Oryzias latipes: one gene and its partners. The protein of the gene in region 7 purifies or fractionates together with the protein of the main gene of each other region. This does not show direct contact. Links are inferred from orthologs where the notes say so. Each region holds a gene or a part of one and is shown on either strand. Other genes may lie near its edges. The genes, in order: kpna4, upf1, thoc2, ncl, kpna3, protein lin-28 homolog A and ncbp1.

Region 1 (3,500 bases), on a different chromosome or scaffold from region 7:
GATCAGAGTGGGAAAACATGCAGTGTGTTGACAGTCAACTCTAAACTAAAAAGTTCCAACATAAAACACATTTACAGCCATTTCTTCAGTTTGGTTCAACTTACATCATCAGATGAGAAGTACTGATCAATAATTTCGTAAGCCAATTTGTAGATATCTTCATTTTCGTGATTTTGAAGTTGCTCCACTTTTTCCAAACCTGTGATTAAAAAAAAAGACAAAAAATATTTGCAGCACACAGAAGCTGTTGAGTGGAAAGGGATGAAACCTCAGTGTTAGACGTTGAAACCCACCTCCACATTCCTCAATGAGGTTAGCAATAGTTTCTGCCTCGTCGTCAGCCATCTTTAGGATATTGCTGAGACCATCAAGGACGACCTGCACCACCTGAGCGTCCTTCACTGTGAGCAGGTTGCAGAAGGGAGGAATCACCTGTTTCTCAATGAGGTGAGCCACCTATGATTGTAGAAAGAGAGCATTAATAATGCATTCAAGTAAAAAATACAAATGACTAGGCAAAAAATCAGAGTACCTGTGCTTTTATTTATGCAAAAACAAAACAAATCACAGTTGGCATTTTCCCAGTAAAAACTGGCATATAGATACCAGATTAAGTAGTCCAAGTAAACTAAAGCTGAGGTTCTCACCTGATCTTTTCTGCCACTTATTGTCAGGTTACTGATGGCCCACGCTGCTTCTTTCTGGGTGCCAAAGTCGCCCTACAAAAAAGAAAAACTATCAGCAACACACTCTGAATTTTTACAATATGTATTTCATTTAGAAATCATGCAAACCTTGTCAAGCAGGTGGATGATCATGGGGACCAGCTTGGCATCTATGACTGCCTGCACCTGCTGCTGGTTCCCTGCTGTAATGTTGGACAGGAACCACACTGCCTCCTACAGGGCAGAACATGCAGCAACCAGAGAGCGTGTTTAGGGATCACACATGTGCCTCCACGTTTTGTTTAAAAAAGCAACACAAGAAAAAACAGTTTTTTTCTGACTACAGCGAGGCAACAGAAACAGTTTGTTCTTAAACTGGATCAGAATCCAGACGTCAGCAGAGCGGCGCCGACATCTGGTCGAGACAAAGGTGTTGTGGGTGGGGCGAGGGTGATTTGAGGCTCTAATCATCGACCAGCCACAGAGCAGGCCTCTTTTTCTGAATGGCTGGTCTCAGATGCACCCCGATATCAACACTTATTCAGCACCCTGCTTTCCACCACCCCCATGATATTACACAGTCACGCAAACAATCGACCCCCCACCATCACCCCTACCACCCCCAACCCAAGTAATCCCCTACAACTCTCCGATGCCTTCTTTAACCATCTTCATCCTCGCGATCATCCACGGTGAGACTTTGTTGTTTTCTATGAAACCCCCCTCCAATCTTTCACCCAGCATTCACACACTAACACCACGTCTCTGATTTCATCACTTCCAGACAGCGTGTGCAGCAGTTTAAGACACTCAGAGCTGCAGCAGACGTTACCTTGTTGATTTTCTCTTTTGGGTGGGTGAGGAGTGCTGGGAAGTGGCTGAGGGCGTCACAGTTGAGCACTACCTGCGTCTGCTCGTCTGTGCCGGTCACTATGTTCCCAACGGCCCTGAGGGCAGCAGTCTGGATGAGGTGGAAATGACACAACCATCAACATGAACTCATCAATTCTAGAAAACTGCACAAGTTTAGATGTGAAAGCAGCAGCAGTGCTCAATAACACAAGTGATCATCCTCAGAAGAAATGTGACAATTTTAAAGACAAAATTACACAAACACCATTATAGTTTGTTTATAAGATAGCAGTTTTAACTACGCAGTGTTTTGTGTTTTTTAATAAAAGTTGGAAAGTTGGTGTTAAGTTTTTTAGTGGTGGTGTAAAAAGCCAGAGTAAAGCCGAGTCTTTGTTTAAAAGCAAAGACACCTTCCCAAATGAATAAGTAATATATGACAGCAGCAACGACAGTCTCTTCTTCCCACCTGAACTTTGACCTCTTGGTGACTCAGTAGAGGTACCAGATGAGGGACAATGCCTGAGTCGATGACCATTTGGATCTGCTCATTTCCAGCATCAGTCAGGTAAGACAAAGCCCACACGGTGTCCACCAAGATCTAGAAGCGGTAAAGAAAAGAAATAAAGGAAACGTTTTTTAAAACCATGTTTAGGCAAATGCTGTCACCTCCAAACCAGTGAGGACAGAACAGCACAGCCTGTTATACTTACACTGACATCAGTGTGATGAATCAGCACACAGAGAGCTGGCAGGATCTGAGAAAATAAAAACACATTACAAAGTGTAGGGATGGATAAAGACAGTGAATAACAGATTATATTTAAAGTCCTCACATCTCCAGAAAAATCTATTCTTATCCTGTACTACGGCCTGCAGTTTCAACACCCTACTCATCCTTTAAACACCATTTTCTCTGCTTTCACTGGTTCAGACGGATGAGACATCAAAGCGTAATCCCTTTGCAACGCTCATTCTCAAATTCAGGACACAATCTAGAAGGGCTGGAATTGAGAGAAAAGAAGACTCCCACCTACAATTACCTTATGGCAAAGGAAGACCAAAAACAGCTGAATGTAGTTATTCATATTTCCTTTCTTCTTTTCAGTGATCAATTATGATTAAATGATGAAGATACAACTGAATTCTCTAATAATCCAGCCGTGAATAGGGAGTTAACATAGATAACGGTGTTCATTACAGAAGTAACCTTGAGGCATGTTCAAATAGGTTTGCAAGTCCAGATGTCTTTGGTCTTTTGCAGTATGATCTGATGATTCTACAGTTGATCATTTTAAAAAGACTTTTCTGCAGATATTCAGCTGCAGACAATCGTCGACAAGCCTGATTCAAACTACAGTGTAAAGGTTTAACCACAAGTTTACCGGAGCTTTTGTGCACTATGACAGCGCGTGTCATCTCTGTGAGGGAGGGGTTTGTTCGTCTACACATTTAATTCAATTCAATTTTATTTATATAGCCCAATATTACAACAATAGTCATCTCAATGGGCCTCATACCAGCAATTGTATAATAAACATGAATCATTAAGAACATAAAGTCATACAATTCAATAGGTAATGGCTAAACTAAACTAAACTGGGCATCCCTACACATAGACCTTCGCAGTAAGTAAAAACTAAACTGATTCCGAAAAAAAGAAAAAACCTCAGGGGAGCCCACATGAAGGAGGGATCCTCCCCCAGGATGTACAGGCGATGTACCAGAATTCCTAGAAAAGAATTAGCTTATCTAACGTTACAACTACATTTTAAGAGGTTTAAGATGCCCTCTGATGAAATTGTTGTGAATCAGAAGTAGCTTAAAAAAAGGCTTTTTGAAAAAGCATATTTGTGACTTAGAAAATATGCTGGACGGACCATTAAATCCCTGCTCTGCTCCATTCTGATGCCTCTGCTCCATTCTGATGCACTCATTTCTAGATGCATGTGTGTCAGTTTTCCTCGTCTGAGCTGACATCTGGCT
Region 2 (2,393 bases), on a different chromosome or scaffold from region 7:
CCTCTCTCAGAAGGTTTGTCGACCGCTGCTTCCTTCGTAGGCTGCCGAGGAGTCAGGGCCCGGGTGAACATTACTTCCCACGATTAACCTAATTTTAAGAGTCTTGGACGTTGTTCGGGTTGATCAGACAACCCACATCCAGCATGGGGGACTTGTATTTTTGTCTGTGCTGAATGCTTGAAAGCTTCCCGCACACATTTCTGTCCAGGTTTGGAGAAAGAATTCTTCAGATTCCGCTGAAAAGCCTCGATTCTCGTCGGACGACGAGTAAACTGGACTAAAGCCTTCACAGGGACTGTGTGTGGGGGGCATTGTTGCATGGATCATTTTCTTTGGGACTGAACCTCTTTTGGATTCTCAGAGACTGTTGATCTCTCACGTTTCCCTCAGCAGCCCGACCAGACGCCGCCATCTTCTCGACCTCCTTCCATCACTACCCACGGGCATCGCTTCCTGCCTTTCGCTTGTTCACGCGGCCTCTCCTTCCATCTCCATGCGCATCGGTTAGTGCTCTCTTCTTCTACCCTCTTATTTCGCTCGCTGGTCATTGGTTTGGTTTCGCTATCCCGTCGCTTTCACTTGGTGGTGCTTCGGATGTAGCAGAGGAAAACAGGTATCCATTTTATGTTTTTATTTTTTCCCAGATTTAAAAGCTGATGAACTAAGCTCAGCTCCAGCCTAGCTCCCTTCTTCAGCCAACCTGCCAGATGTAAAACACACTATCAGGGGTCTTTTGCATTATAGGTTTTAGCCAAGCATTCATAACAAAGTTCTGCAGATTTACAGGTGGATTAAACCCTTAAGTGTTGTCTTTGCGCTGAAAACGGAGTAAACTCTAAGTAGTTTTGTCTTGACATAGAATTAAATGTGCCCCGATACAGTTTGTGACTTACACTTTAGTACTGTGACAGTCCGGTCACTCCGCCATGCTGGTACGCACGTTCGCCCTGGTAGGTCGAGTCCTGGGACAGGGCCACGTCGATTTGGGACTTGAACTCATCACCCAGATAGCTGTCCTGTAGAGGAGAAGACCAGACACTTCCTCAATGATCTGTACATATTTGACTGAATAAAAATTAGGATTCTACTTTAAAAAATGCAAAATCTGTATTATGCATACACCCTGCATGGGTTACCTGAGACAGCTCGGGCTGGGAGAGGCCGGGCTGGCTCATCTGAGAGGGCTGGCTTATGGAGATGTAGCCCTGGGTCAACGGCCCCTGAGAGAAAGACTGGGAGGCCCCATCCTGGCTGACCTGGCTGTTTGGTCCGTTAACCTGCCCGGGACCCTGGTTCCCGATGCCGCGGACCCTCTGCCGCCCGCTGCGCCCGGGCTTCCCTTTCATAGCCCCACGGCCTTCATAAAAACAGGAGAAGGATCATTTCTAACCATTTTGCAAAACACAAGAAGCAGGATAAATGAATTTTGGCCAATGTCAAGTATTAAAAACAGGGAAGAACTTTGGTCTAAGTGACCCTATTCATGGGTTGGACACCTTTCCATTTAGAAAACGACAAATCTGAGTATTTAAAGTCCCACTTTGATCATGTTTTAAGACATTTAAAAGCATTCCCAGGTGTCTTTTTGAGGCCTTTTTTGAGCCAAAATCAAGAAATCTGTGTTGTTTTTGCAGGTCATAGCTTCTGCAGAGCGGCAATGGTTGGTTTACCTGCAGCAGGGCCGTTCGCCTGACCCAAGTAACTTGGGGGAGGCATTGGGGGCATCACCAGGTTGAACGGTATGGGGATATTCATAGCGGCCATGTGACCTGGGCCCGCCCCAATCATTCCAATCTGGTCGTGTGTTTGAAAGTACATGTTGGACGGACGTCCAGCTGAAAGAGCATTTGAAGACACGGGGTTTACAAACGACAACAGTTGCTGAGATCATTTTTGAATGTTTACAAATGTGAAAAGATGTAGAAATACCAGTGCTGCTTCGATCGTATGCAGATCCAGGGATGAGAGCCTCTCGAGCGTCATACATGGCAGTGCTCATAAAACGAGCCCCCTGAACAAACAAAGAGTTTGGAGTTCTTTAAAGCCTAAACTAACAGTCATCTATATATTATGTTTATTCAAAATATAATAAAATTACTTAAAAAATAATTTTGCTGGACTTTGGCAAATTCAGTCCCCTAAGAAGTGTGTAAAAGTTCAAATAAAGCCAAGTTTAAAAAAGAAATGTAATGCTTTTTTGTTTTTCTAGTAAAAAGTATGAACAAAATCTGATTTTGAATTTTAAATTACTTTCTGGATTGTCATTTTCATGTTGAGAAAAAGTCCGATCTGCCTTGGAATTAGTGGTGCAGGAGGTTGTACTCACGGGGTTGATGGTGTTGACAAGTTTACGGGGTTTGCTGAACTGCATGAGGCTCTCTCTGAGGTTGTTG
Region 3 (3,927 bases), on a different chromosome or scaffold from region 7:
ATACAAATGGCCAAATTCAGACATGCAGACAAGAAACAAGCCAGGCTGAACTTACCTCTAATTTCACTTCCATGATCACTTTTCTCTGTAAGGTCTTTGCAGAGTTGTATGCTATCAAGAAAAAAAAAAACAACAACAAATCTTTAGTAATCTAGAACATGGAAAAGAAATCCTGGAAAAAGCGAAAGAACTTCACTCTGAGTGATGGGATGAATAGACAGAAACGTAGTTGAAAACCAGCTTTGAAATGAGTTTTGATACATAATAGTAAAAGGCGAATACAGTTTATTAAAGGGCCTATACCACCTATTCTTAAGCCTTTTATAGCAAACAACGTCCATGTATGTGATAATATTTTACCTTTGTCATAAAAAAGAACAATTTTTTAATGAAATATTAGTTATTTTCCTGAGGTCGTTAACAACTGGGAAGTAAGACTACTCGATCTCTGAGGCACATGTGGGCGTTTCATGATGTCAACCTAGAGACGGCCTCGCAGCACGTCTGCGTCTAGCTCACAAAATTAACCAACATCCAAACTTTTGCAAAGATGGATGTGCATATTATGCATATAAAATGAAGATTTGCCAATCACCCTTAGCTCCACGGAGAAGTGTGTATGTGCGTTAGTCTGGGGCTGGGAGCGCAGATTCTTCCTGGAAGGGGCTATTCTTCACTTTTCTACGTCACAATGTGAGAACCCACTCATTTTCATGGGTGGGCAGGGGCTGGTGCTCAGAGTGCAGGTTTTTAAAGGAATACTCATATGTGTTAACGGATCACAAATACAGCTTTGGGGTTTCTTTCCGTGAGGAATGAACATTAAAATACACAAAAAAAAAATATTTTGCATGGTAAAGGCCCCAATGTGCTTTATAGTCCGATTCACACACACTGACGGTGGAGACGTCTTGCCAACCGCCAAACAGACCACCAGGAACAATATGGGGTAAGGTGTATTATCCAAGGACATTTTGACACATGGGCAGGCATGGGGGGAATCAAACCTGCAACCTTTTGATCAGAGGTCCACTGTTCTACCTCTGGGCCACAGATGCAATTTGAATCCAATTGTAAACCGCATTGTGTTGAGTAGATTGAAACCACAATCACTGATTCTGCATGTTTTAAACGACTTTCTACAAAACTGTGCCGTATTCTGTTTACTTTTACTTCAGATTATATTTTACCATTTCCAGAGCCCAAAAGCATTAAAAAGAAGAAAAGGGGGCTGAAATTTTCTAGATTCAAAAAAAGTGCAAGCTTTTAATTTTAATATATAAAAAAGTAAACATACTTTGAAACAAATATCTTACTTGCTTAAACCAGATGTCAGATAATTTGCTACAGAGTGGACATTAGTTAGTTTAAAGCAAGTTGAATTTGGTGAAAACACTAAATGACATTTAGTGAAACTTTAAACGGCATCTTGTGACAACCCAGAAACTTTCTTCTAATACCCTTTATCAGCTCCAAGCAGAGAAGCTAGTGCCTAAGTGTAAAGTGCAGGCTTTTTCCAGCCTGTGGGCCTATGCAGACTGAAGAACAGCTAACACTATGGGTGTGAGCCTAGAGTGCAAGTCTGTGTCTCGTGTGCGCGGACTAATTAAATAAACACATCATTCCCGTTTTGCTAAAGATTTCATTTGATTTATTACCCTATCTATTGTCCAATTCTTAACGTGTAGGGGCCTTTGTTGTTGCTGTGGTAAACACGATGGCCACGGTAACGGTGATATGTAAAATGGATGACTCTTATAAGCATGTAATCTGCTGGTACTATTCCTTAAAACGGATCCTAACTTTTAAGCTTTTATTTAACAAGAAAATAATAGCCCGCTGTGTTAACTAGCGCAAAACCTAGCTTAATTTCAGATTAGCTAACATCAAAGTTGTAAAGTTAGCCGCAGCATCTAAATTCAGAGACTGCATCTATTCAGGATTAATAATCAACATATACATTTACAATTGTCACGTGTATTTAAAGAGAAAACATAATAACACACTTTCCCTTCCCAATGTCATGGATTTCTGAATAAAATATATAAGAAACCAAAAAAAGGTGGCCGATATACGATAACACAACCAACACTGGAGCTAGCTAAACTTGATGCAACGTTGTTGTAAAATCCCTCGTTTCCCTCCACTTGATCAAGTATATCTAACAAGCAAGTCCCCAAACGTAATGCTGAAAATTGATTTATATACGTCTGTTATAAAGATGAGCAGTTATAAAGCTCTTTCCCCCGTCACTGATTATTTGGCTGGCTAACACGATGAGACGTGTTAGCTGAATGTATTCCAACTAGCTTAGCTTTGATAGCCGTAATGTTCGCAAAAACAGTTTGAACATCATCATGGTTTTCTCACAGGAAACGTAAACTAACAGACTTGAGCTTGTAGTGTTTTCTTTAACCTTTTACAGCTTAGCGTCAAGCGTTGCAGATGTGTATTTACAAGAGTTTAAAGTTAGCCGCACAAGCATTTTAACGTTGTTGCTAACACAGCTATGGCTAACACGGCTGAAGGACTGTCCTTCGCTTGTTGAAATGCTAGCTACTTCAATTTTGTTTTGTAAACACAAAGAAACGGCGCAATGCCGAGGACCGCATTTAATTAAAACATGTACTCACAACTCGTGTTTTCCAGACTTCTCCCAGTTTTTGATCCATTCACCAGAGATAATAAGTGTCGCCATCTTCCATACACACCGCCCGGATGTCTAGTTCATAATCATGGCACACACAGGGTCAAATGTGGGGATGAGCCGCCGTTGTTAGTGTTGCATGGCGGGATTCTGAGGGTTTGGTGCGGGTATCGGAGGACAGGCGTTATACTTGGGAACGCAGTTAAACATTTTCAACGTATTTTGTGTTGGAAAAAGAATCCAACGCAAATGCATTTTAAGATTACCGGTAATTAGGATAGTGTGAGAAAATAGCAGACCCACCCAAGACTAGCCTAACTGTCGGGATCAACATATATTAATTTCTCTAAAGGATTACCTAGAATTTATTACACGATTTTTCATTGATATATTTCATCTGGTCCTCATCCGATCCCTAAAATGATTCACAATTAAAGTTAACCTCAACTCAATGGTCATATTTGGCCTAAGTAACTTTTCTATAGAAACTAAACCTGATGAAATGCCAAAAGTGGGCTAAATTGTGTCTGAAATATGGCATAAACCAGACTAAATAAAGTAACTTCCTTTAAAAAATAAATAAATAATAGACCAACAATATTACAAACACTATGACAGACATTTCTAAATGAATCTGGAAAAATCAAACTGATTTACAATGGAAAAAATGGCTATGCTTTATTTAAAAATAGCTGGACTCTCATGCCAAAATGATAACACTTTTATAGAGGGTTTATTTGGCATGTGTTACAATATACATACAAAATATAAATGGAATAAGTGGACAAACGGCAAATAAGCACAGATTTAGCAGTTTAAACAAAGCAAACCAAACCAAACAAATCCAAAATGACATGTTGACATGCATTTCTACATGGATCATTGTTATTTGCCTAAGTATCCTTGTCTCGATTGTGCTAATTTTTAAGACTACATCTTCTCTCCAGTTTAATGATCTTTTTAATGAAATTAGCCTTTAATTGATAACAGAAATGAGAATACCATCCCATTATGTTGATTTCTGCTAACCAATTCAACACACAAATAAAAGTAATTCTCATATATCAAAAAGAAAAAAGTCAATACATTCATACTTGTAAATGAGTAAATCAATCTTCAATGAAAACATTTTTTTAAACAATACTTACACAAAGAGTAAAACCTCCAAATTAAAAGAAAAAACAAAAACGCACGGATTACAATATTTTACAGGTTTGAAGTCCTATCTTTTGCAGTTTTCACTATATAGTAGTCTAAAGACATGGGAGACTTTGGGGTCT
Region 4 (2,225 bases), on a different chromosome or scaffold from region 7:
AAAACTAACATTATTACCAGGCAACACAGAATGCTGCTTCTGATTGATGAAGTATTGACATTCAAATTTATTACAATTGGTATTTAGCTACTGAAAATACTGAGAACACTAGAAAGATTTTTTATTGAAAACAATAATTTATACAGGTACAATTTTATTACAACTGTTTAAACAGCTTTCTTAAATTATCATTTTATCAAATATTCATCAAATCAAAATATTTGTTGCACAGCAGACATGGGCAACACCCATAAGCATGTAGGGCGAGCCTGTTTTGATCTGTGCACTGGCTCTGCTTCTCGTGCGAATCCGTACAGAATCATGGATGCGATTGAGAGGAGCTCATGAGAAGGTGCTCTAGAATTGTAAACAATAACCGTCTTCTCCAGCACTTACCCTTTAGGTCTGCCGTCCCTTTGAGGAATCCTTATGGAAGCTGCTTTTTCAAACGTAGACTGTAGAACATCTTCTGTGGCACTGAAGGCCAGATTATTTACAACCAACGTTTTGTTGACTCCTCCTGATGCTAAACGGCAACAAAAAGGGTAGAAATTGTTCAATTCCCAATTAACTTTCATCACACCTAAGCAGGTTTTAAGGTTTGAGCATTTGAACCAGTTACTGAGTACATATATTTAAAGGATTTTACTAACAGTTCTGGGTAGTTACATATCATCAATACAGGACTCAGTACCTGACATTCTGCCACCTTTTTGGCTCTTATCTCCAACAAAGTCTAAAATGATGGACCTCCCTTGCACATCGGCTCCCTGGGCCTCCTCCATCATCTTCTCTGCGACAGCTTCAGATTTGAATTCAATGTAGGCAATGCTGCATTAAAGAAACAGAAAAGCTGATATGAGGACAAGGTAAGATATAACTAGAAACAATTGGGCATAAGGCTGGTAAGTTATTTTAAAGATTTCAAACTATAAAAGTGACTTCTGTAATTGAGTTTTTTCTTACCCTCTATTTGAACCGTTTTGTCCCTGAGGTAACCGGACATCAACCGCATCTTCAAACAATTCCTTCAGGTCATCAACCGTGGCAGAAAACGGAAGATTTTTAACAAAAAGGGTCCGCGCATCTCTCTCTGTAGAACCAATATCAATTTTAGAAAAACACTGATAATACAGACTTCAAACATTTAGCAGACAAACTTTGCAAAGGTGCATGTTTACCTTTCTTTCCTTCCTGTGAGTTATCTTTCTGACGGGCCTTGTCCAGCTTTAGTTCTTGACCCATGAATTTCTTGCCATTAAGCTCCATTGCCTTGTTCATGTCTTCCTCTGAGGCAAAGTCAACGTAGCCAAATTTCCTATTGAAGCAAGATGCAAAATTAGAAAATTAGACCTCAAATTAAATCTACCTTAAATGAACATCAAAGGTTTTTGGCTGAACTCGTGAATTTCTTTATTTAAGATCACAAAAACATTTGAGTTGTCTTGAATTCAGTCGCTCTTCTCCAACCCCTAAAAATGAATCATTGCAGGATCGCTATATCACACATTGTGAAGCAAGCAACAAACATTTTGAACAACACTCTTAAAAAGCTTAAACTTGTGGTGCAATGCAATTGAAACCGGGGTAACCATATATTTATTTGAGTTAAAACAAGTGAGCCATGAAAGGAAGCAATGACCAGGAAGACCTTTAAAAGGACAAAGGTTCCCAAATGACTGTGGGGAAAACACCCCTACATCTCAGGTTTTAACACACATTCTTGTCCGGGCAAGACGTGTGTGTTTTTTTTTTAAACTTACTTGGAACCTCCTAACCGGACATCAACAATCTCTAGACTGTTTTTGGAGAAGAATTTTCTGAGCGAGGCTTTGATTTCGTCAAAGTCTTTGTTGGAGTTGAGGTTTCCAACAAACAAGCAGAAGCCTGGAAAAACACAAAACAACAGTTTTTACAATCCAAATGTGGGTGAAAGCAATAAATGCAGAATAAGGCCAAGCATATTCAGAATAATTCAAGGTGACATCACACATCAGTATTAAGTCCCTTGTTGATCATCATGAGAAATAAACTTCAGAATGATAAACCAACATGTCTGTACTTGCCTTCTCCATCAGACTTTGCTTTCTTAGCAGGAACTGGTTCTTTCTTTCCATCTGCCTTTCTCTTTGCAGCTTTAGCTGGGGCTTCTGTTCAGACAGAAAAAAGACTTTGTACAAAGTTGTATGCAGGAAATGTTTAATTTTTTTTCAATGCAAAATCGA
Region 5 (3,500 bases), on a different chromosome or scaffold from region 7:
GTATTTGCCAATTTAGTGAGCAGCGTTGCACCCTGGTTTTTGGCTAAGACTTCTGGGAAATTTCTAGGGCACTCGATTTTGGAATTGTAGATTGGGACAGCACTACAAAATGGCATCATAACATTAATTATGTGTCATATTCAGGCACTGGCTGTCTAATGAAACGAAGATTCCCATTTATCTATAAAATGTCAGTTTTAGTGACCGCTTTGTTTTGTATTTATCTGTCGCAAGGCTGAGGTTGGCGTCTGATTATTTAGCTTCCACTATGACAGTTTTGGGTTAATTCAGTTCAGTTCATTTCAGTTTTATTTATATAGCCCAATATTACAACACAGTTGTCTCAACGGGCTTCACTAATGGAAAATCTATATCACATTTGAATGGTTCCTATATGTAATCTCGAGGAAAGGTTTAAACCAGCTGCAGATATTTTACAGAGTATGAAGATAAACTTTACCCTCAAAAGTTAAGGGAAACTGAAAGCTTTAAAAACAGAAAATTGGACTTCAGCCTTATACAGGAAAGTCTGGGAAATTAAATTATTATTAACCCGGTCCTTGGCCTATAAAAGGTTAGAGAGCCCTCTTTTTGACCACTTCATGTACATAATGGCTGATCGACACCTTCGACAAAATTTCATCTCACCTGAACTTTCACCTCCTGATGGCTGAGGAGAGGCACGAGAAATGGAACGACCCCAGAATCTATAACCATCTGGATCTGCTCGTTGCCTCCATCCGTCAGATAAGACAGAGCCCACACTGTGTCTACGAGGATCTAAAACCAGCAAGTTTGTGTTACAAAGGTGACTGATTAAACCAGGAAATGAGCAGCGATGCCAATTGGATACTCACATTTAAGTCAGTGTGATATATGAGCATACAGAGTGCCGGCAGAATCTGTAGGAAAAAACAAGAACGAAAGATCTCGAGTAGATGAGTTGTAGCCATCTCATTAGATGAACAAACAGGCCTTCAAAGTAAAAGACTTTCTAAGGTGATGAGGCTGATTTGAAGCACAAAAGCATGTAATCAGGTCCAGACACACCCACCTCTTGCACAGTCTCCATTGGTGGGGGAGGATCCTTGTTGCGACAGAGGTTAACAATAACCCAGGTAACATTACGGAGGAAAGTAATGGGGATTGATGGACTGATGAAAGAGAGCAGCGGCTTCACCACACCCAAGGAGATGACATAATCCCTGCACTGTGGCCCATCGCCTGACCATACGACAGGTGGCATGTCAACATTGCGCTGGACAATGTCAAATGTTGGTACACACCTTTACCACAGGAAAGCACTTACCTATAATATTTCCTAGAGCCCATACTGCCTGTTCACACACGTTCTGGTGAGGAGAGTGTAGAAGGCGCAGGAACAGCGGCACTGCATCTGGGTCAGCAAGCGTCAACGATCAAAAAACCTAATATGACGTGACGTTACCAACACATGAAGATAAAGCTGCTGCGTTGGTGGAGCAGCTTAACACCCCGCACAGGCAGTAGCATCAAGAAACACCTTTGATTTCACTTTAAAGTGGAAAGTTGATGAAAAGAATGCCAGTAAAGCAGTCCACCTGGTTTCCTTTGATGCCCAAGTGCTGACCAGCGTCATGGTGTTCACATTTAAAGATTATTCTTCTGTTTCCCCCCCCAAAAAAAAGAAGAAGCTAAACAATTAATCAAATCTATTCAGGTCTTTGCCTCAATTGTGTCTGCATTTATAGTTTTTTACAGCATGGATTTTGCTATCCCGAGCATTCATCCATTTGTGACTTCATGTCTTTTTTGTGTCGGAATTCAGTTTTAGACATGATATTAATGTATCCACAATTTAAGTTTCACAAATAAAAATAAAGGTTCTGGTCAACAAATGGTTGATAGATGACTTATTTTCATCAATAAGTTAACAGGTAAAAAAGAAAATGCTATTTTTATTTACTTATTACAACAACATCAAATGTAAGTGAACTTTGAGACAAACAAAATAAGATGAAAGATGAATTGCTTAACAGTAAGTCAATACATTTGTTTTTTGCATCCTAAAGAGCTGTCATCACTAAACAAAAGTAGTCTGTTTAAGTGTACTACAAGTATACGTAGTCTGTATTAAAAGTGAGGTAGTATACTTGAAGTTTTCTTAATATACACTATTTATATATTGTAAACTTAAAATGTTCCAATTTAGTCGGAATAAGTATTCAGTGAGTATACTTCCTACACTACATATACTTAAATTCAAGAATACATCATAAAATAAACTTCAAGTATACTACTTCTTGCTAAAGGCCTAAACAGTACGGTAGTCTATAGTCTAGTGCAAAATGAGACACTGAAGAATAGCTGACTGGGATTTGCTGAACTAGTAGAAGACGACCATGCAGACGGCGTCCAGACCCAGACAGACGGGGAAGCATGTGGAGGACGGCGTATGGGGTCGACTTACTGGATTTAACCACAGCTTGAGTCTGTGCCGACGTCCCAGAGGCGATGTTGGTCAGAGCCCAAGCTGCCTCGAACTGTAAAGAAGGGCTACGTGGTGAAAGAGAAAGAAAACAAATCAGCACGAGAAATGAAAACACTGGTTTCCATGACAACAAACAAACGAAGCAAAAATATGTCAAACTAGAAAAGATAAAAATGGCGTCCACCATGTTAAAAACTGATTAGGCTCAGTTTTGTCTCCTACTTTTATTTTCTGACAATTTTATGCTGATTTTGAATTTTTAAAAAAAGCATAAAATGTTTCAAATCAATGTGTACTATAAAAGGATTCATGTGTTCAACAAAGTCACACATTTGCAGATGCTGTTCCTTAAAAAGGCATAAAGATAATAGTCTGATGTAGAACAGTTAGCCATCATTTACATCGTCTGTCAATTCAGTTTACAAGGTCCTCTACCTTTTATCATTATTTGGTCATACATTTCAGAGTGTACGTCTAAACCTTTCATGAAAAACACTCAAAGTTACCGGTAAATATGAATTCCCCTTTAAAATTAAACTCTAAAACCCCAAATTGAGAATTGTTAAGACAGTTTAGCCTGGATGTCACACAACAGTTAAAATAAATAAATAAATAAAAGACTGCTAACCTATGTGGTTTTCTGTTTTCAACATTGCTAGAAATTCTGTTTTTTTTTTATTCCTTTTTAACCATATAATGTTCCATTTAAAGTTCTTTCTTTCTTTACAGAACAGATCTGACAGATTTCTTGTCTAAATTCTAGATGTTCAAAACAAGAACTAGCTCCTTTCAAGAAAATCATCAACTTCTAAAGGATGCCATCGTCAATAAAAGCCCAACCATTTCTTCCATAAAAGCAGCCCAAGCTTTTCAGTCTGTGGCCCTCGGTGAACCCAAGGTCCTGGGAATTCAGTGAAATGTAGGAGAGAGGAATGCCGATCTATTTGGATTGGCTGAAGCTAAGAGAAGCAGCCAGCTGCTCTGCATGCCACCGCACACGCTCACATGTGGACTTGCAGGATAAACCAAG
Region 6 (3,500 bases), on a different chromosome or scaffold from region 7:
GTAGAGCAAAATATTGCAGACATTATAACACTTTGATCCAAACAGTGGCCTCCCAAAAGTTCCTAGTAGAGTTTGACAAATGGCACAAATAATTAATGATTTTTAAAAAGTTTTTGATTTTTGCGTGTCCCTTTATTTTCTTTTTTAATAATATGATAAAAATAATTTGCTCATATTAGAGGATATGTTGGCACTTGACATAATGGATAAAAAAAACTGCCCTGAAAAGTAAGCTGGCTTTACGACGGCACTTTCTCATTTCTTTGAAAAACCTGAGTAGAATCATCAAAACAGAGTTTGATTCTCTAAAACGCCAGAATTTATACAAGGCATCACCTTGCATCGAAGTATGGAATAGTATGCGTGTCAATCATTCGTGACATTCTCCTTGTCACAAGCACTGATAGTCTGGAACACCAAGTATCAAAAGTTTGAGAGGAGACGATGATTAAATACTACAAGCCCCAGTCCCTTTACAATCTTCTACGACATCCCCATCTACAACGATTACAGAGGAAAAAATACAATAGTAATGAAATACTTTTTTTTTATATTGTGAGAAAGAATACAGAAAAGCATTGTATGGAAGGATGAATCAAAAGACCTGAACATTTACTGTTGTCAATTGCAGCCGTTGCTTCTGTGACCCAAACCTTCACAGTTTTCTAATGAAAGTCCAGTAAATAAAGGGGGAAAAAATAAAAGAATACAAACAAACTGCACCTTCTCTGGCCTTCTTTTCACATCATGAGGATGAGCATTTGGATCCCTGCTTTGTCATACACTAAGACTCTGTGACTCCTTCCAGTCAATCTGAAGGGCTCCCTGAGTTTCAGTTTATTAATTCCTGAGATAATCACCGTAGTAGATTATTTTTCTCCCGCAACAAATTGGAATTGAAAATAAAAAGTATATAAAAATCAAGATATATATTCAAAAATATAAAATAAACTGAAATATTTACATATAGATAAAACAAATTGATGCATCTTACACATGATTAGTGCAGTGACATTGCATTGGATATGGCATAGATAAGGATGACAATGATCTATTTTGTCTTAAAAGGCTCATTAAGCACTCACATGAAGAAAAAAATAAAATACAAATAAAAATCAAATTTAAAAAAAACCCTCACAGTTAACACCAGACCTCATTTTGCCATGTGTGCAGCATGTTCTTTATATTGTTACTCTTAACTAGTTATAAAACTATGTGTTCATACTTAATTAAATTAAGGAAAATTGCATGAATCAAGCACATATGTACAAAGCAATGAGAGTACCTGGATGTTAAAAGTTACTAAAATATAAAAAAAAATCATAATACAGATTCAAATGGCTTTGCAGTTTTCTGGTGTCTGTGCCCAAAACTTCATTACTGAGAGGTCTCAACAGGATCAGAGGGTGAAGCTGCAGTACTCTTGAATGAAAATAAATAAGTAGTATGATCTTTTTAAAAAGGCTTTAGAATAATTTTACATATATATTAATTGGATGTAACGTCAGCTTCTCCTGTAAAACGGGAGTAAAATGCTGATTAGCTAGCTAGACCTACATGCAACTCTGTGCAGGCTTGGTGTTCCTGAACAATCACCCTTCTGCAGATTATAGGGAGGTCAAAGTCTTAAATAACTACCTAGAAAACGATCATACTGGATATAAATTAAAGCGCCAGTCTTTTCACTAGCATCGCAACGTCTGATTCTTCCTCGTTGTTGTTTTCCTCAAGAGGAGAAGTAGCAGGACTCGTCAGTATTTCAGCCCATGTCAAGTCTTTCAGAAGTGTGGTGTTATGATTTAATCAAATCCATGTTCAAGTCATTCAAAAGCAGCATTTTCTTTAACACATCTGGCACGAAAAAGTGACACCTTGCAGCTGACGGTGGCCGAAACGGAGCGTTATGCTGCCATCTTTGGGTCTGATTGTGTCTTTCTTTACCTGCTGATGGCTGATGGTTTAAAACTATAGACTCTGAGCAATTGTGAAACTAAATTGCAGCGCCACTTCAAACAGTACAACTGACCACCTTCTGTGAAGTTAGCGGTTAGTGGTTAAAAGCGTTGTGACACACTTCATAAAGATGGTGAAAAGTGTAGTCTTTTCATGTTGACCTGCAGCTGAGGAGACAAAGAGATTAAGATCTCTAAATATTATATAATGCTTCCATTTTCCTCTTTCTCCCAAACAGACTGAAAATCTGCACAGCTGTCGTCTTTTCACATTAATAGCTGTACCTTAAGTCGACACAAAGCCAGCACCTGCGGAGCAACACGAGGCGGTCATCACTGCAATTCCAAAATATCCCATATCATGTCGACTGAGTGTAAATACTGTAGTGCAAAAGGGATTTGATTTAACCCTAACATACAATCTCCACTCTCCAAAGCCCTAGTCTGAGAATTTCTGGTGATTGTAAGCAGTGAGGATAATAGAGCAAACATGCACCAGTGAGGTAGACCAGACTAGCCAGCTAAAAGATGAATGACAAAGAAAAAATAATCAACGAAACATATATATATATAACTGACCAAAACCTGAAAACAACTTTTGGTCTGACATTCATTTGGCCCCAGGAAAACTGGATGGTCAACTGCAATTTTGAAAATACCATTTCATTGCCAATAGCTATACCCTTAAACCCATCAAAAGTTTTTTTTTCCCCCTATTCTGTCATGAACCCTCCCAGTGTGTGATATGCACACTAACATTCATTACAGAGCAACTAACTATTACATGTGGTGTAAAAGTCAGGAAAGAGATGAAATTGTAAGGCAGCAAAAGCATCAATCTATTCTAACCACGCGGAGTCTTATGCATATATTGCGGGTGTTTGAGAGCCTCGAGAAAAGGCTCTTTTTTTCACAGAACCTGTGAAAACCCGTGAAAAACCAAAGTGTTTTTTTTCCCTCTAACAGCAGTGATTCGTTCATCTAGCAAGCTTTGCGAGTGCAATTGTACAGAAGTCTTCCTGAGTGTTACACCAGTTGGAAAAAAACATTCTTCATGAGTATTTTTTTTTTAACCTGAGGTAAATCCAAAAGCAGCTTCAGCAGCTGGGAAGGAATCGTGTGTCCTTCCTCGCCGTCGAAGCAATTTGATTGGCTTCTGTGCTTCATCGAGGCCCGACCTTTAGTTTAATCTGACGTCTCGGGAGGCGGTGCCGGGTGGCTGTAACCTCCCTCGTCTCCTTTCAAGGGAGACGGTTTTCCCTGAGAGCTTGGTGAGGACTGTTGTGCTTTGATTGGGCAGCTGGCGACCATGTGATCGATGCTCTGGCAGAAATGGCACTTCTTGGGCTGAGGTGGCAACTTACACTCTTTGGCATGGTGGTCCAGACCTCCACAGTTGTAGCACCTAAACAGCAAAAGTGTTTGATCATTTTCTACACAAACAGATTTAAATGTATGGTGTTTTTGAGTGTTTTTTGGCACTCAAATACGTGTTTTCTTTGGAGACACAAGAAAAAAAATCACAATATTTTAATCAAAAAACTTTAT
Region 7 (4,286 bases):
TGCGTTTCAAAACCTGCTTGTCCAAAAGGCTCACCTCTTCCTGTGGATGTGGTTTCTCAGCGGTCCACACCTGCAGCATGGGGACGTGAGTCTTCACCCTCCTCCTGTCCAGGAACACAGCAGAGCGCTGGAGTCAGTCCAACAACAGCTTCAATGGAAAGCAAAAGATGCTCCAGAAAAGAGGCCGCGTCTCACTTGAGGTAGCCTTCGATCTGGCTCAGGAGTCGGTCCATCTCCACGTCCTTCTTCTCATAAAGTTCCTTGCCGACCCACGGCAGGCAGGACAGAACCACGTACACGAACCAGTCCAACCGAACCTGGAGCCAAAAGGGTCTCACGCTTACTGATCTTCATCTTCAAGTCAAATTGAGAAGCTGAAAAATCGTTTTTGTATAAATCTAAAACTATTTTTACACAGAAAACAATCATTTTTATTTTTGATTGGACTGCAGTTCTCCCAAAACCAAGTCATGGAATTTTGAGTCGTCATTGAGAACATCAGATGATACAAAAATAAAGGAGTTTGCTGAATTTGAAATGGGGAAACTCAGACGTTGCAGTAAAACAAAAGGAGGCGCCTTAAATGTGACATTAAGTAAAAAAAGAACGGGATGTTCATAAACTGAAACTTCTGATGCAAACAAATATTCCAGGTGAGGCCGTGCAGAAACAAACCTGTGGCACATCTTCTTCCTGAGTAACACTGATGAAGTTTTCAAACATGGCTACCATGGAAGGGGCAGCGATCACGTGACAGTTGACCAAGTCTGACAGAAAGCGCACCTGAAGAGAGCAGAGAACTTAAACGATGCCGAGAGCAAAAGGCGCTGCAGCAGCTGCGAGTTTAGACATTGAACATCAACAGACCAAGTAAACGGCTTCGTTGTAGAAGTTGTTTTTCAGCGTCTCCTTCAGCTGCCGGATCATGGCCTCCACAAACTCTCCCCCAAAGTTGTAGTTCCTGGCGTTCAGGAGGCCGACTAACGTCGTGTAGACTGTCAGCTTCTCCGGCAGGAGGCGGGCTCTGTCGAAAGACGCGTTTGTGAAAACGGACCGTTTGTTACGCTTGAGAATGAGGAGAACTGCGGACAACTTACACTGCACATAAAATACGCAGGATTTTGTTTTTGTAGTTTGGAAGGTCCGCCTCCAAAACCCCTGCGAGCCCCTCCAGGTTGCTCTCGAGGGACGATGTACTCTTTTAAAAGATCAAAGACGGACTTTAGTTATTGCAAATTATTTAAATAGTAAATATATGGCTTTATGACAAAACGGCCATCGTACTTTTTCTCCAACGCGACATATCAGCGACTCCAGGCGGTCTTCAATCTCAATAGGCTCTGATGTTCTCCTCCTTTTGTGGGCTTGACCTCCTAAAAATGAAAAGGACAGAACTTAAACCTCTGACCTGAGAGGACACTGAAGACAGAAAAACAAATCTACGTTTTGGGGGGAAAATAGTGTATTCGTCTCATAAAATCTAGTGTTTCGACAGTCACACATACTCCATCTGACTTTACTGGAGGTTTCCTCCTATATACTTTAGGTAAACAGAAGAAAAATGGAGAATATTGTGTCTAGGGCTAAAGACAAACAGTTGGACGTCAGCCTGCCGGAGAGCCTCAGAGACCGTAGAGATTTTTCAGAAGAAGCACAAAACCCATCTTTTTAACATCGCTTTGAGATAATTTCATCTGGTTAAAATAAAGATCTGATGTCTAAGCAGGACTTGGCCAAACTTGTTTATGTGTTAAGTCGATCTTTAGTCGACTTGACTACTGTTCCAGTGTTTTTGCTGGACGATACGGCAGCGTATTCAGAACTCTGCTGCTCGGGTCCTTCAAAGGAGCCAAATATTAGACCACATCAGTCCAGTTCTGACCTGTCCGGTAATCTGGATCTGCTCTTTCGTCAGTACCTAGAGTCGAAATCAAACACGAAGAAGCTGCATTCAGCTTCTATGCTCTGTAGATCTGGAACAGACTACCAGAATTAAGCCTTGGATCAGCTGAAACACTCAGTTTATTTAAATGCAGGTTGGTATTTACTTCAGTTCTTTAAATTTTTATTTTGGTGATAACTCCTTTAATATTTCTGTTAAATTTTTCTTTTAGTGTTTTATGTAAAGGACCTTGAATTGCCTTTGTACATAAAATGTGCTTAAGAAATAAACTTGCCTTGCTGATTCTCTCCTTACTGAAATCTCTGAATGAAAGGTAAACACTCAATGGAAGCCAATAGAAGTCATTTATACATACAATGACAAATACATACTAAACTAATCCTACATTATATAAAAATATTGTTAGGTCTGATATTTTTTTAGTGTGGAACCGTGAGACACTTTGGTTGTGAATGTTCCTTTATAAATCACAAAATCCACAGGGCTGTAACATCACGTTTCCATGCGCATGATGATGAACCCACAGAAAAAGTGTCTCTTTCAACACTTACGCCAGTCTTTACAAACATTAAATGTGTTTTGTGTGCCAGAAACCGTTATAAAACATAAATCTGGCCGTTAGCGTTAGCTAAAGTAGCTAACTAACGGAACCGGGTTTTTCTGGTAAAACTTAATCTCTTAAAAATCATTTTTTAAAATCCCCTAATTTATTTAGTAGCTTTAAAAAAATACTTGATATTGGGGCAACGCCTGCTATCGTTGCATTCCTTTAAAGTTATAGCACATACAGATAATCAAGGTAGCTGTAGCTAGCTGCCGCGTTAGCCGTAACGTTTGAATCGCACATGCAGCGCGCGACTTGCCGTCACTGTCGTCGCTGTGTCTCCTCCTGGACATGTTGTCCCCCCTGAGCTGCACGCGTGCAGACACCCGGTGTAAAAAAAATAACGCGGGACAGACCGGTGGATCCGGGAAAAGCTTTGCTTATTTTGAACGGCAGAGTCCGGAGGCGGCAGCAGCAGCAACAGCAGCTTCTTACAGAGAAATAACAGCGGAGCGATTGAAATGATGGACATCCGGGTCATTCAAGGTACAACCGGAAGCTGAACTTCCACTTCCGGTGAGCTGCACACTCGCATGGAAATACAAGGGTATTTACCGCGTTTGAGAACTTATATCTCTCTTTTTGTCAGTATTTACGCGTTCTATCACAAAGTTGCGTTTTTTACGATCACAAACATATTTGTCGTGCATTTAATTTGCCAGTTGAGGAGAATGGCAGCCAGTGAAGCAGTCTGCTCAGAGTTTCTGAACTGGGAGGTCAACACGTCGATGGTTGATCATGGATCAATTAAGCAAAACAAACACATTTCTGCTGCTCACAGAAAATATTACAGGTTCTGCAGGAGAAAGGTAGGAGAATATCTGGCTTCTCTTTCCACAAAGACAACGCAGAATGATTGAAAACAGAATAAAAAATGACTAAACTAATCTAAACTAAATATTGATTCTGACCCAATTCTGGGCAGTTTGCATCTTTTATATATTAGTAATATTATTACTACTAGGTAGTAATATTATTACTACCTAAGGTATTCAAGACATGAAAGTTAGAGAATATCTTTGGTATTTGTTTTTGTTTTTCTGTGTATCAAATCTAATCAATCTTTATTTATGTAAAATTTATATAATTCTAGAACATGATAACACAAAGTGCTTTACACCAAAACAAACAACATAAAAAAGGCACAACAATTTAGAAATAGATCCTGTAGTTAAAAACATATTTGACCATTTTACAGTTGAAAACTCACCTTTCACCAGGCGTTCATTAAATGATTACTTTATATTTAGTGAGGCACATTTACCTTCTGTCCTGGGACAACAAATAGAGGGGGGGGGGCTTTTGGCCAACTGGTAAATTTGCAGAGAGGCTTTTTTTTAGTGTTTGATGTCACAAACAAACAAATACATAAAAAAAAATTTGTTGCTTCTTTTAAATTGTCACTTTAGACATATAAAATTCTTCCCTGTTTTTGTCATAAACAGATTATTACCGTTTACCGGACCAAATAGATGTAAATCAATGCTTAAATCATTTATAGATATGTAATATATTTCAGGCTTGATCAGAGTATTGACAGGCCAAAATTTGGCTCATTACGTAAATATTGACGTGAACCTCAATGATGATGATGATGATGATGATGATTCAAGACATCACATTTAGAAACTCCTTTAGTCGGTCCAACTTTTTTGGAAACCATATATTTCTGGAAGTATTTGAAACAGAATACATTTGCTTGATTGAGGTAAATGCTTTGATTCTTTTTCCTTTTCAGTCTTTTGCCTCGTTTGTGGCTTCAAAGATCTGCAGTGCAGA

What was found.
Region 1: the proteins of ncbp1 (region 7) and kpna4 purify together in Homo sapiens (co-immunoprecipitation; 3 studies listed by BioGRID and IntAct, with this or other methods). This does not show direct contact. The link is inferred for Oryzias latipes from reciprocal best matches to the Homo sapiens genes NCBP1 and KPNA4.
Region 2: the proteins of ncbp1 (region 7) and upf1 purify together in Homo sapiens (co-immunoprecipitation; 3 studies listed by BioGRID and IntAct, with this or other methods). This does not show direct contact. The link is inferred for Oryzias latipes from reciprocal best matches to the Homo sapiens genes NCBP1 and UPF1.
Region 3: the proteins of ncbp1 (region 7) and thoc2 purify together in Homo sapiens (affinity purification with western blotting; 3 studies listed by BioGRID and IntAct, with this or other methods). This does not show direct contact. The link is inferred for Oryzias latipes from reciprocal best matches to the Homo sapiens genes NCBP1 and THOC2.
Region 4: the proteins of ncbp1 (region 7) and ncl fractionate together in Homo sapiens (co-fractionation; 3 studies listed by BioGRID and IntAct, with this or other methods). This does not show direct contact. The link is inferred for Oryzias latipes from reciprocal best matches to the Homo sapiens genes NCBP1 and NCL.
Region 5: the proteins of ncbp1 (region 7) and kpna3 purify together in Homo sapiens (co-immunoprecipitation; 3 studies listed by BioGRID and IntAct, with this or other methods). This does not show direct contact. The link is inferred for Oryzias latipes from reciprocal best matches to the Homo sapiens genes NCBP1 and KPNA3.
Region 6: the proteins of ncbp1 (region 7) and protein lin-28 homolog A purify together in Homo sapiens (affinity purification with mass spectrometry; 3 studies listed by BioGRID and IntAct, with this or other methods). This does not show direct contact. The link is inferred for Oryzias latipes from reciprocal best matches to the Homo sapiens genes NCBP1 and LIN28A.

The regions. Positions count from the first base shown.
Region 1 is NC_019871.2:13,515,352-13,518,851, forward strand, and holds part of kpna4 (importin subunit alpha-3), read right to left. Parts: intron 2,273-3,500; coding exon 2,228-2,272; intron 2,116-2,227; coding exon 1,984-2,115; intron 1,627-1,983; coding exon 1,498-1,626; intron 900-1,497; coding exon 795-899; intron 720-794; coding exon 648-719; intron 457-647; coding exon 294-456; intron 200-293; coding exon 105-199; intron 1-104. UniProt on the Homo sapiens protein: Functions in nuclear protein import as an adapter protein for nuclear receptor KPNB1. Binds specifically and directly to substrates containing either a simple or bipartite NLS motif.
Region 2 is NC_019862.2:13,859,683-13,862,075, reverse strand, and holds part of upf1 (regulator of nonsense transcripts 1), read right to left. Parts: coding exon 2,327-2,393; intron 2,012-2,326; coding exon 1,930-2,011; intron 1,836-1,929; coding exon 1,671-1,835; intron 1,358-1,670; coding exon 1,137-1,357; intron 1,017-1,136; coding exon 897-1,016; 3' UTR 894-896; intron 701-893; exon of another isoform or gene 589-700; 3' UTR 1-588. UniProt on the Homo sapiens protein: RNA-dependent helicase required for nonsense-mediated decay (NMD) of aberrant mRNAs containing premature stop codons and modulates the expression level of normal mRNAs.
Region 3 is NC_019872.2:16,174,152-16,178,078, forward strand, and holds the start of thoc2 (THO complex subunit 2), read right to left. Parts: upstream 2,801-3,927; 5' UTR 2,699-2,800; coding exon 2,634-2,698; intron 112-2,633; coding exon 56-111; intron 1-55. UniProt on the Homo sapiens protein: Component of the THO subcomplex of the TREX complex which is thought to couple mRNA transcription, processing and nuclear export, and which specifically associates with spliced mRNA and not with unspliced pre-mRNA.
Region 4 is NC_019862.2:11,722,694-11,724,918, reverse strand, and holds part of ncl (nucleolin), read right to left. Parts: intron 2,151-2,225; coding exon 2,067-2,150; intron 2,023-2,066; exon of another isoform or gene 1,966-2,022; intron 1,888-1,965; coding exon 1,764-1,887; intron 1,319-1,763; coding exon 1,182-1,318; intron 1,094-1,181; coding exon 967-1,093; intron 832-966; coding exon 695-831; intron 527-694; coding exon 397-526; intron 355-396; exon of another isoform or gene 220-354; intron 1-219. UniProt on the Homo sapiens protein: Nucleolin is the major nucleolar protein of growing eukaryotic cells. It is found associated with intranucleolar chromatin and pre-ribosomal particles. It induces chromatin decondensation by binding to histone H1.
Region 5 is NC_019879.2:9,666,803-9,670,302, reverse strand, and holds part of kpna3 (importin subunit alpha-4), read right to left. Parts: intron 2,536-3,500; coding exon 2,450-2,535; intron 1,397-2,449; coding exon 1,310-1,396; intron 1,225-1,309; coding exon 1,055-1,224; intron 903-1,054; coding exon 858-902; intron 781-857; coding exon 649-780; intron 1-648. UniProt on the Homo sapiens protein: Functions in nuclear protein import as an adapter protein for nuclear receptor KPNB1. Binds specifically and directly to substrates containing either a simple or bipartite NLS motif.
Region 6 is NC_019874.2:22,826,206-22,829,705, forward strand, and holds part of protein lin-28 homolog A, read right to left. Parts: intron 3,358-3,500; coding exon 3,138-3,357; 3' UTR 1-3,137. UniProt on the Homo sapiens protein: RNA-binding protein that inhibits processing of pre-let-7 miRNAs and regulates translation of mRNAs that control developmental timing, pluripotency and metabolism.
Region 7 is NC_019868.2:27,750,758-27,755,043, reverse strand, and holds the start of ncbp1 (nuclear cap-binding protein subunit 1), read right to left. Parts: upstream 2,801-4,286; coding exon 2,767-2,800; intron 1,374-2,766; coding exon 1,285-1,373; intron 1,199-1,284; coding exon 1,098-1,198; intron 1,025-1,097; coding exon 868-1,024; intron 784-867; coding exon 676-783; intron 318-675; coding exon 196-317; intron 105-195; coding exon 35-104; intron 1-34. Other genes in the region: tstd2 (thiosulfate sulfurtransferase/rhodanese-like domain-containing protein 2), read left to right, coding at 3,041-3,316, 4,246-4,286. UniProt on the Homo sapiens protein: Component of the cap-binding complex (CBC), which binds cotranscriptionally to the 5'-cap of pre-mRNAs and is involved in various processes such as pre-mRNA splicing, translation regulation, nonsense-mediated mRNA decay, RNA-mediated gene silencing (RNAi) by microRNAs (miRNAs) and mRNA export.